2 linked regions of the Arabidopsis thaliana genome follow. The protein of the gene in region 2 interacts with the protein of the main gene of each other region in a biochemical or structural test. Each region holds a gene or a part of one and is shown on either strand. Other genes may lie near its edges.

The links.
Region 1: the proteins of ROPGEF14 (region 2) and ROP1 form a complex in vitro, tested with the Arabidopsis thaliana proteins (one study listed by BioGRID).

The regions. Positions count from the first base shown.
Region 1 is NC_003074.8:19,041,071-19,044,893, reverse strand, and holds ROP1 (RHO-related protein from plants 1), read right to left. Parts: upstream 2,037-3,823; 5' UTR 1,698-2,036; coding exon 1,599-1,697; intron 1,509-1,598; coding exon 1,421-1,508; intron 1,330-1,420; coding exon 1,220-1,329; intron 1,137-1,219; coding exon 1,073-1,136; intron 993-1,072; coding exon 862-992; intron 781-861; coding exon 679-780; 3' UTR 501-678; downstream 1-500. Other genes in the region: VPS35C (VPS35 homolog C), read left to right, coding at 47-260; AT3G51290 (pyridoxal-phosphate-dependent serine hydroxymethyltransferase, putative (DUF632)), read right to left, coding at 679-780, 862-992, 1,073-1,136, 1,220-1,329, 1,421-1,508, 2,478-3,231, 3,321-3,544. UniProt on the Arabidopsis thaliana protein: May be involved in cell polarity control during the actin-dependent tip growth of pollen tubes. May regulate callose synthase 1 (CALS1) activity through the interaction with UGT1.
Region 2 is NC_003070.9:11,325,521-11,332,752, forward strand, and holds ROPGEF14 (RHO guanyl-nucleotide exchange factor 14), read right to left. Parts: upstream 5,272-7,232; 5' UTR 5,003-5,271; intron 4,383-5,002; 5' UTR 4,248-4,382; coding exon 4,166-4,247; intron 3,299-4,165; exon of another isoform or gene 3,014-3,298; coding exon 2,573-3,013; intron 2,470-2,572; coding exon 2,315-2,469; intron 2,241-2,314; coding exon 2,166-2,240; intron 2,080-2,165; coding exon 1,810-2,079; intron 1,734-1,809; coding exon 1,383-1,733; intron 1,311-1,382; coding exon 954-1,310; 3' UTR 737-953; downstream 1-736. Other genes in the region: AT1G31660 (bystin-like protein), read right to left, coding at 5,656-5,720, 5,828-5,903, 5,990-6,062, 6,156-6,302, 6,416-6,463, 6,555-6,634, 6,725-7,052, 7,128-7,179.

The sequences.
Region 1 (3,823 bases), on a different chromosome or scaffold from region 2:
CCAGTTGTCACTGCTTTCTCTTAATGGTTTTACGAGTCAAATGCAGGTATCTCTACTTCCTGGAGAAAGGAAACCAACAAGTAACAGGCGATACAATCAAGAGCTTAGCTGAATTAATCAAAAGCGAGACAAAGAAGGTTGAGTCAGGCGCAGAGCCATTCATAAATAGTACTCTACGTTACATCGAGTTTCAGAGACAGCAAGAAGATGGTGGCATGAATGAGAAATACGAGAAAATCAAAATGGAATGGTTTGAATGAATTTATTTCTTGCATTCTGTTAGGCAAATCATCAATAATCAATGGCTTCTCGTCTTGTTGCAGAAGCATGAAGAGTAATCTTGAGAAATAAAACTTGTATCATTACTTTTCATTTCCTAGTTACACTCTCTACCAATAAACATGTTTGCAAAGTTTAAAACAGTAACATACAAAATATGGTCAGCTGAAGAAATGGTGGGAATGAAAACTGATTCAAAACATGTGGTGTTTGTGTGGAATTATGCATAGGACTGAATCGTAGAAGCAAAAGAAACGTTGATTCCGACAAACTCCATTAATATTAAGAACAAAAAGGACCAGTCAAACTTGGGTGTCTGTCCATTAACACATTGATTCATTCATTGTTAGAAGATTAATATACCAAAACCAAATACATAAAAACAGAGATTTCCAATCATCATAGAATGGAGCATGCCTTCTGCGCTTTGCTCTTCTTCTTCTTCTGCTTTGGCGGTTGCAACACCACTCGGATGGCTGCGTCAAACACCGCCTTCACATTCTGCACTCTCACATCATCAACATTAGCATTAACATTAACATTAGAAATCTGCAACAAGGGTATATATACTAATCTACGTACCTCTTGAGTTTTGGAACTGCATTCGATGTAAGTAGGTGCTCCTATTTGCTTCCTCAGCTCCTCTCCCTGAGCAGTAGTAATCGGAACAGCACCAGGATGGTCGATAAAGAACTGTTTATCATCTCGAAGATCTGGAGAGCAAAAACACAAACTCAGTCACAACTAATAAAGTAAAAGGAGCGAGATCAGGAAAAAACAATGGAAAACTCACCAAGCTTTGTTCCAACAAGGACGATGGGGACACCAGGCGCGTAATGTTTCAACTCCGGGATCCACTGCAAACACAATTTGTGACAAGAGTTCAAAAAATGTGACGAAAACTCAATAATATGAAACAAGATTGATGGATTTTTAAAACCTTTTTGGAGACGTTTTCATAACTGGCTTTACTGATAAGAGAGAAGGCCAAAATGAAAACATCTGCTCCACGGTAACTCAGTGGTCTTAATCTATTGTAATCCTCTTGCCCTGTTTATTCATACCCAAATTTTCAAAATCTTCAGATCCAAAAACCATATTCCAAATTTCAAACACCAAGATATATAGGAAAATGAAAAACCTGCAGTGTCCCACAATCCAAGATTCACAGTGCTTCCATTAACCACAACATTGGCACTGAAATTATCGAAAACGGTAGGCACATAATCCTGTATATCCACAAAAGAAACAAGAAACATGAGATATGTTGTTGTTGTGGTAATGAAACAAGAAACATGAAAGAATAATTGGGACATAACCGTAGGGAAAGTGTTGCTTGTGTAAGAAATCAACAAACAAGTTTTTCCGACAGCTCCATCACCAACCGTCACGCACTTTACGAACCTCGAAGCGCTCATTTCCCCTCAAAGTTTATTAATTTCAGGGAAATTTATAAAAAAAAAGATCTCAAAGATTTAGCCTTTGGAATTGGAGACTCTTGATATTTCTATTGATCGACCATCTGGGCATTGCGGATTCGAAACGATTGGAGTTTGTCCCAGAGATTAGAAACCCTATTACCCAAAAAGATAGAGGGGAAACAAAAAAAATGAAAACTGGAAGATGGCACAAAAACCGAAAAAAAACAAAGAGTTAGTTAGAGTTAGCTTTGGCCGGGAAAAATGGCGTTGAAACGTTCCGCTAACCAAACTTGTCTTTCTATTTCCGATTATTGTGGATTTCCTCTTTTAATAGCTCCCAACTAATCAAAATTACCAATCGATTGTGTGTTTATTTATGGGAAATCAAATTAGGCACTTGTCTTTTTCTGCCGCTCAAACGAATCATCTCTCTTTTCTTCTGTTACGTACACATCACGAGTGTTTGATTATCATTAAACTTGCTTACTTCTTTAAGCAATCCCCTTAACTACCTCACTAACTAACTAACTAACACTTCTCCAATGTTAATAATACCTTGGTAGGTCACCTTCCAATGATTTGACTTGGCTAAGAAGTAGTTGAATTGATGAAGTTTCAAGCAGTGATTCAATGAAAAGTCATTTAACCAATTTCATTTCGAAAACAGCATAAACTCAACCTAACATTCAACCAAAAGATTAGCTTGGATCAAGCAAAAACAGAGAGCAAATGGTAAAACAATTTGTCTTTCTCTCTTTAAGGAAGCAACCTCTTAACCTCCTCTTGATCCTCACCGATGCTCTTAGCTTGGTTGTACACAGACTCAAAGGCTTGCATACACACACTTGAAAACCCAACCATTGCCTGAAAGACATGAGGGAAACCCATCTGCAAGTTATTTAGAGTCATGGCTCTAGTCACACTCACTGACTTCTCATGCTTACTTTTCTCTTCTTCTGCTTTTCCTTTTAGCATCTCAACCTTTACTCTCTTCTCTATCACCGGGTTCTTTTTCCTACTCTCAGGTACCGAGTATGGACTATACTTGCTCTCAAGCGCTCTCAGCGAAGCCGATTTCTTCTCGAAATCTTTTAACATGGATTCTGTTCTCTTCTTTTGCTTATGCTCGTCGGCTTGTTGAGCCACAATTCCATGGACTGCTGTCAGAAAGCTTTTGATCCCTTCAGATGCTACTTTATCAGGGATCCTGTCAATAGCTAAATGCCATTCCTCGCAGAAGCTGTAGATCTTTGACTCGTAGCTACTCCTAACAAGTGGATTCTTGCTGAACTGGAACAGACTTAACCTGAGCCAGCCCGTGAGAGATTGTATGTAGTCACGTTGGGCCTTGACCAAGTTGCAGAAAGAGTGATGCCATTGTTGGACCTCGAGCTCAAGCTGAAGAGTTGATTGTCGGTGAAGCTCAGATGTTGGTTCAGTGGAGGGGATGGTGTTAAGGTACTTAAGCTGCTGCACAATATGGGTTTGAACCTGGTGGCTCTCGTACATACTCCTCCACATACACATTAGCCTACATTACATTCATACAAGAACCTTGTTCACATTGACCAACATAAGATACTTTAGGTTAATGAAGCAATGGGAATGCACAAAACAAACCCTTTAACAAGCTCGACAAGCTGAGGGTAAAGCTCGGTCTCTCTGAGCTTGATGATCTCGTTAGAGGCGCTTTGGATGGCTTGTGAAGATACTGAGAGCTGAGATTCTAACTTCTCGACGTCTTTCTTAGCCTTCTCAGTCTTGACATACTCAGCTCTCTTCATCTCAAGCCTCCTCACTTGCTCCACTTTCTTCTCATGATCCATCTTTATGCTCTCTGCATACTGCAACAAAACCCACATTCAAAAAACAACAAACACTCACTCACTACTTGGCAAGATATTTGTGCCAGTGTACATAACACATTATTCATCAGAATTAAGTACACACGTGGGTCTCTTACACTATCTGCTCACGCTTGGACCCACCACAAGCCTTTAATGCCCACATGAATCAACCAAATTCCCAAAAACAAAACATTTATCCATATTTGGATGAAATCTAAGCAAGCAATTTCAATATTCAAACTTCAAACTGAATATAAACAACATTTTCAAACTCTT
Region 2 (7,232 bases):
TCTAGTTAGGATGTTTGAACTATATATATAGGTCATGTTCAAAAGTTTAGTTAAAGATTTTTTAAATATGGTAAAATAATCTTTTGAAAAGTTATAGGTCCTTATTGAGTTATATGTATATGAAATTTTTTACAAGAACAGTTTTTTGGTAATCAAGATCCATTTGATCTCTATACTTGCTATATTGAAAACAATTATGGTCTGTTCGATTTTCTTTGAGTTAGTAAGCATAATTGGCCTTTAACAATATTTTGTGTTAGTATCGGATGGCACAGTTGAACTTAAATCCAACCCAAAAAACCTCATTAGTGTCGGGATGATAGACGAAGTGAAGCTTGCCATTTTGTTATACTTATTAGGTAGTATGTACAAACGGAAACTCATTAAGGCTTTGTGCTAATTTCAAATTATCCTTAAGCCCATAATATGTACATATCCAACCAAGATAGATCCCTTCTAAATGAAGACTTCTTATACTCCAATCTTGCTAGTGACTTAATGGAAGTGTGCAAAAGATAGTGGCTTGGTGAAAATACCTGTTAGTTGATCATTTGTCGAGATGACAGCTAATGCTTCATTCAAAGATGGAAGTCGGGATAGTAACCTAATTGAGATTCAAATTAGATTTCAAGAAAGTAGTAATTAAAATGATTCTAGTCTAGTATATTATAAATAGATTATGGTTTTGGACATTTTTGTTTTGAATATACCTTATTTTGTAAAGTATTTTCTGGAAGAGACTAATAAATTTAATCATAATCAATCGTATCAATTTTTTTTCCCGGATTAAAAATTTGCTTTTCACCGTGAAGTTATGAACAAAATTGTATGAATTCGTACTTTAACTGCAATATGTTAATACATTTACAACATCTCAGGCTTCATAATTTAAAACCTTCAAAGTAAAGGAGAAGCTTCAGGTGGCACGCATCGAACTAGGAAGACCCTCTAAATCAAGGAGAAGTATCAGAAGGCACTTTACTCAAACACCACAGTCTACTGCTTCTACTTGGAGTTGTATTCACTGAATTACTTGCCTTAGCATCTGCAAACAAAAAATCTAAACCAGTCTCTGTCCCATCGGCTTTGTTCATGTCATCGGTTAAAGAATGCCTTACACGGGACGAAAGCAGAGGTCTCTCAGGTGTCCTATAAGGGTCACGGGAGCTAGGGAAGCAACTCGGTGGTGCAGGAGAGTTAGGGTTGCTTAAAGAATCTTCTTTCAAGATTTCTCCCATTCTTGAAAGAATCCGGAAAGCTAGATTCGCAAGTGTTCGGGAATATGCTTCGAGAACCGCATGACCTATGTCCTGAACACAGAGAAGAAAGATGTTTCAGACCATTGGACTAAGAAAGATGTAGTTAGTTTTGTTTATTTATACCTTGTCATATTGGATCTTTGTAGCATCAAGAAACGAGTGAGGGAGATTAGGGTGTTTGGATTTGATCTGAGTTCTAAGCGCTTCTGCTCGGTTCAAGAGTGACTCATTGCGACCAATTTCAGACAACGGATCTTTAGCGAATGACCACGATGCTCTTACAGGGGATTTACCATTGCTGCCTTGTTCTGTAATCCTTTCTTTCCAAGCAAACATAGCAGATTCTAACTTGTTAACTGTCTCGAGTGCTGCATGTTCGGTTCCCAGATTGAGCGATATAAAGATTTCATCTACTGTTGCAGATTCCACAGCCAACATCTTGTACAGTTCATCACCGAGGCTGTTCTTTCCAGACTGTTACAAAACAAGATTTTAGAGGTAGTTGTATAATTATGACTATCACAAGGGATAATAAAGAGTGCAAGCTTACTTTAGGTATTGCTTCCTTGATAACAATGGGAACTGGCATTTCAAGAAGAATGTTTTCGTTTATGGCTTTTGTAGCTTTGAAGACTTGATAAACAACTTTTCCTTTGTCAAGCAATTTCTTCCTTCCTGAGTTAGAGAGTCCAGGTTTAGGCACTTGTGGCGATGGAAGCCACCATCGTTTGCTCTCACTTGTACTCTTGTTCTTCCCTTCAGCTCTACTACCAATCTCAGAATACCAAAACTCTGTGTTCACCATAGAATCCAGTGTCTCCTGTGGAGTTGTAATGCAACTTTAATCAGATCAGGAAATAGAAGAATAAGAAAAGACAAGATTAACAAAAGAGATAATCCGCTCACAATTAGCATTGAGTCCAACTTCTGAAGAGCTGGGAGATTCATATGAATGTCTGCGCGGGCTTTCGGAGTCATTATCTGTTAAAACAAGGATTCAGCTCAGTTTCTTCCTCTGGAGTATATCTATTTATTTTAACACCTTAGCTACGTACCTCAAGTGATCTTCCATTGGCATCATTTTGCTTAGAAGGGACTAACTCAATCATGTAGTTAGTTGGAGAAAGTAGCCAATCCATTTCCCTTCTCCATTTCTGTTTCTTCTCTTCACACAAAGGTTCCAATTTCCAGAGCTCGCCAAAAATCGACGCTGCAAATTCATTAAAGTCAGTTACTCTTAACAGTTCACACGAAACCTCTAACCATATCAAAGAACATAAAGCTTAAGAATGCTAGGAAATTGTAAAACATACTAGCAAGATGTGTTACAGCATTTGACAAAGCCAAAGCTACTTGGACACCCTTACATCCCCCAGTGACATCTTCGCCGAGCAATAACTTAGAAAATTTCTCCTTCATAGCTTCCACATCCAAATGACAGTACACATACCCTGGTTTCTCCTTAGCATCAAAATGTTGGCTACTGCCATAGCCTTGTTTCTTCTTCTCCTTAGCATCAAAATGTTGAGACCTTCCAGATAAGTTCAAACCATCGCAACTGTGTTCATCATTCTTCATCGGTAACCATTTCGAAGAAAAAGAGCTAGAGGCATCTTTGCTTGATGAACAGCTTGAAAATGCATCATCATCTAACGAATCTGTAAGACATCCATCTCCTCGACTTGTTCCACTCTCTTCTTCATATGATTGATTATTGATAATACAAGTTTCCAAGCCATAATATGTAATCATTTCTGAAAAGAAAGGGGTACACCACCCAGTAAGAACTTTAACACATATACTTTCACCTTATATACTGTAGACTACAAAGTGGTAAGACACCGAAACTTGCACACTACAAAGAGATTGACAAAGGTAAAAGAAGAGGTCAACAATAGAAAACTAATTAAACACTGCGTATCATTAAGAGACCGTTCAGATTTTGACTATAAAGAAAACCCCACCTAGTACATCTATCTACTTCTTGTCTCATTCATCAAAAATGAGAATCAAGCAAATGGTATCACTAGACACGTTATTTATGCAGACTAGTGTTGTGTTTTCTATACAAGAAAAAACAAATGATAAAAAAGGAATAAAAGTCGTTGTGTTCCCTCTAGTCTTTAATAGCTAAAGTCAAGACTTTTGCTAACCCAAGACTGCTAAACAATTAAAATGCTTCCATTCTCAAAAGGAAATGTATAAAAAAGTCTCAAAAACAATTGAGTTAGTATCCCCATGTGGTGAAAATTTCCAAACGGACCCACTACAAAGACTTTTTATAACTTGTCACGACATGGCATTTTTTCAAACGTTCAAAAGCATACTATAAAAACATCATTATTTAATCAAGCACCAGTGATTTGATTTAATAATGATATCTACCCTTGAAATATGAGAGTTTTGTTTAGTCTTAATAACCATGTGAAACCAATAAAACTACCTACTCTTGGCAGTTTCTGAATAAATATGATTTTAAACAAATGAAAAACTTAGAGGACCCTCAAATCCTGAAACCCCACCTCCTAAGAAACAGGGTTTGGTTTAGATAGGTTATTTGATCATCACATAAAATGCTCTCGCATCATATTAAATTAAGGCATTGATGTCTCGTGGAAAGCTACAGACTTCACGCCTTATTTATTACATGAATGACCTGGTTGGTGTAGATCTTTAAAGGGTCTGAATATTGGTCCCATACCAAAACCTAAACCGGTCACAAGACCACTCACTTTTGTTTGAAAACTATACACCCAACAGTTATAGTCTAAATATTCCATATCATGCCCATAAATGCAATACCTAAAAGCTAAAAAGGTCACCATTGTAGCTATAGATTCATACTTTAAGTAAGCATCGTAAGTGTAAGAATGCAAGAATAGAGATTGGTTAAATCAGTAACTTACTATCTTGTTCATGTTCATCGAAATCGATACTAATCTCCCTCTCCCTGCTACAGCAAGCCAACCTTCTTCTCATCAGCATCATCCTTTCTTCTCTTTTGAATTCTTTTGTTGAACCAGAGAGAAGAACAAAAGCCAAGTTCTTTTCTATCTTTATCGCCAAAAAAACAAGTTTCTCCTTCTTAATCAGATGATATTAAATACACCAACCATCTTGTCCCTGCATAGAAAATTAATTACACATTAAAGATTTTACAGTCAAAGTCAATTAAAATAATTTTTAACTCATAAAGTAAAAAAGCTAACAGCAAAATCAAAATTTTAAACTTAGGTTTGTTCTTCATTATCAGCTAATATGCAACAAAACAACCACTATGCAACAATGAACAATGGAAGAAGACAAAATCATGCTTCACCATTTTAGAATATTATTAATCATACACAAAGAGACAAGAAGGAAGAATTCTTTTTTTCAACTGTACAATGAAGATAAGGCAAAACAAAAACTGAAACTCACTTGTGCCTTTTTTTTTTTGGTACTAATCAGCTTTTTTCTAATGGGGTTACTAATACAACTTTTAAGGAAAGGATTAGTAATGATGTAAAACTTTTAGTATAAAGAGGACCTTTAGCTACTTAAAAAGGCAACAATCTCAAAGTTCTTTAACTAATCTCAAAATGAAATCTTTTAAACAGATTTAACTACAAAGAATGAAACCCTAAACCAAAGAACCTAACAAAGATTTGGCTGATACATAGATCAACAAGACCTAGAACTACACTAAGAGAAACATGAGATAGATTTTGAAGAAACATTGTAAAAGAAATTTGAGCACAAACCTCAATTTCTGAAGCGAGCTTATAGGAAAAATCTAGAGTAGAAGACGATGTACTAGATCAAGTAGAATCTGAGCTTTAGAAGCAACCACATTCGTCCGTACAGTAACTGAGGTGTAATAACTGAGATGATTCCAAAAAAGAATGATCGATGGAGGAAGAAGAAGAAGAAGAAGTAGTAGAGGAATGGGTGAGAGAGAAGTAGAGAACATTTATTGTGGAGGAATATTTTTGTTGACAATGGAAAATAAATATTTGTTTTTGAAAATTAGAGATAGTGAAATAATAACAGCCGTAGGATCTTTGTTGAGCTGTTAGACGGTCGTGATATAGTGAAAGGGTTTGATTTGACAAAAGATCGAATAAAGTGGTCAGATTTATAAAATTTCAAAAACCTATTTACCGGATACTAGCGCCGCTGGTGAGAGACAATATGTATATAGACAAGACCAAATTTGGATTATATCAAAAAGATTAAACCATGTTTAAAGATACACTATCATGTAGTAATAAAAATTTCAAATCTTACTCAAATAAGAAATAATAATACAACGATGTCAAAACTGGAAAACCAGAATCATACCCACCCAGTTTCAGGGTTTATCTCTGCTGCTATGAATCATCAGTCCTCTTTCAATACCAAACACCATGAATCATCAGTCTTCTTCCATTGGTACTTCAGGAATGTCAAACCTGTCTTCTTTAGCCGGTACTGGGGCAAGTGACTTGTTGTCAAGGAAATAACATAACATGGCATAACATACTCAGATTTATATAATCACGCTCTTAAGGTAATTTCAAATAGAAATTAGAAGAAAAAAAGGATATAATTATCCACCATAGGATCTTCTTTCTCTCCACGGTTTCTGCTATCCTTAAGCTCTCTCAGAATCTCAGGAGTAACCTACAATCAAACAATGATAACCCCAATAAGTGGTGATCTACAAAACAAAAAACTTTCAAAAAATTTAGAGGTAGAAGAAGCCTTACAAGATGGTGTTTTTGCCTCTGGAGGAGAGTTTGGAGATGTTCTTTGTCTTCCTTTAGTATTTCATACTTGTACCTGCACATTGGCTAAAGCATGAGCTTACAAAATAACTTAAAAAGTTTTGTTTGATTTGTCAGACATCTTTGTAAGGACTAAGGCGAATATTACCGTTGCACAAAGGTAAGAAGAGACTGGTGCCAAATCACAGGCATAACTCTTATATCGTCAACAAATCTCATGAAGTGAGCAACCAATGCATCAAGCACCCGATACGGCATACAATATTTCTTCTCCAAAAGAACTTTTATAAAGTAACTGCGTCGTAAGAGATTATCAGCACATTCTCACAACTATTTAATTGAATGGGAGAAGGCAATCTACTATCTAACTCTCTCTATTATAAAAGTCAAGAGAATAGTACACGTTACCTTGTTGTGCCACAATAATCCATCTCAGCCAGTCTGTTCAAGGCAACACTGCAGTTCATGTAAAGAAATTAATAATTTGAAACGAATAATCTGAAAATTGTAGAAGATGTTCTATTTATGCAATCTTTGTATCGCATACCATGAGTGAAGCATAGGGATCGAACACTTTTCAAGAATGCTCCCTATAATTACAGCTTCTCTGAGATTGCATGTCCCCGACTGAATAAAGAAAAACCCAAGGAACTAGTAAGAAAACTAGTCACATTCTGAAATAGTTACTGTAGTAAGTTCAGGAGGAGGAATATATACCTTACAAAGCGGGAATAGTATCCCTTGATTGAAAGCACTAGGCTTATACAGTGACTTTTTCAGAGCCTGGTACAGAGCAAAGTGCAGCTTCTTGTGCTTTCTAATATCCTCTCTCACTCGCGGAAGCAAAACATAGTTATAAAACCGTTGAACTTGTCTGTCTTTCAAGTTGGAAGCAAAGATCCTTGTGGCTTGATACAATGCGTTAGGTGACCATTTCTCTGGCTCAGTCAAGTATAAAACATCCTCCCAGTGTTCCATTGAAGTAACAAGCTTAAATGCTTTTGGCAATTTCCCAACTGTATACTCACTCATAAACTTGCCAACACTGCATAACATCATCTCAGAAACTTGAGAACCACTTCAAAATATCGCAGAAGGAATGGATAGAACAAAACATTACCCTTTATATAACTTAGTTATTGCAGGGTCCATTTTAGGATCGGGACGCTCTTCTGCAACGGAAAGGTATCAACTTTACAATCAGCAAAGAAATACAAAATGATCA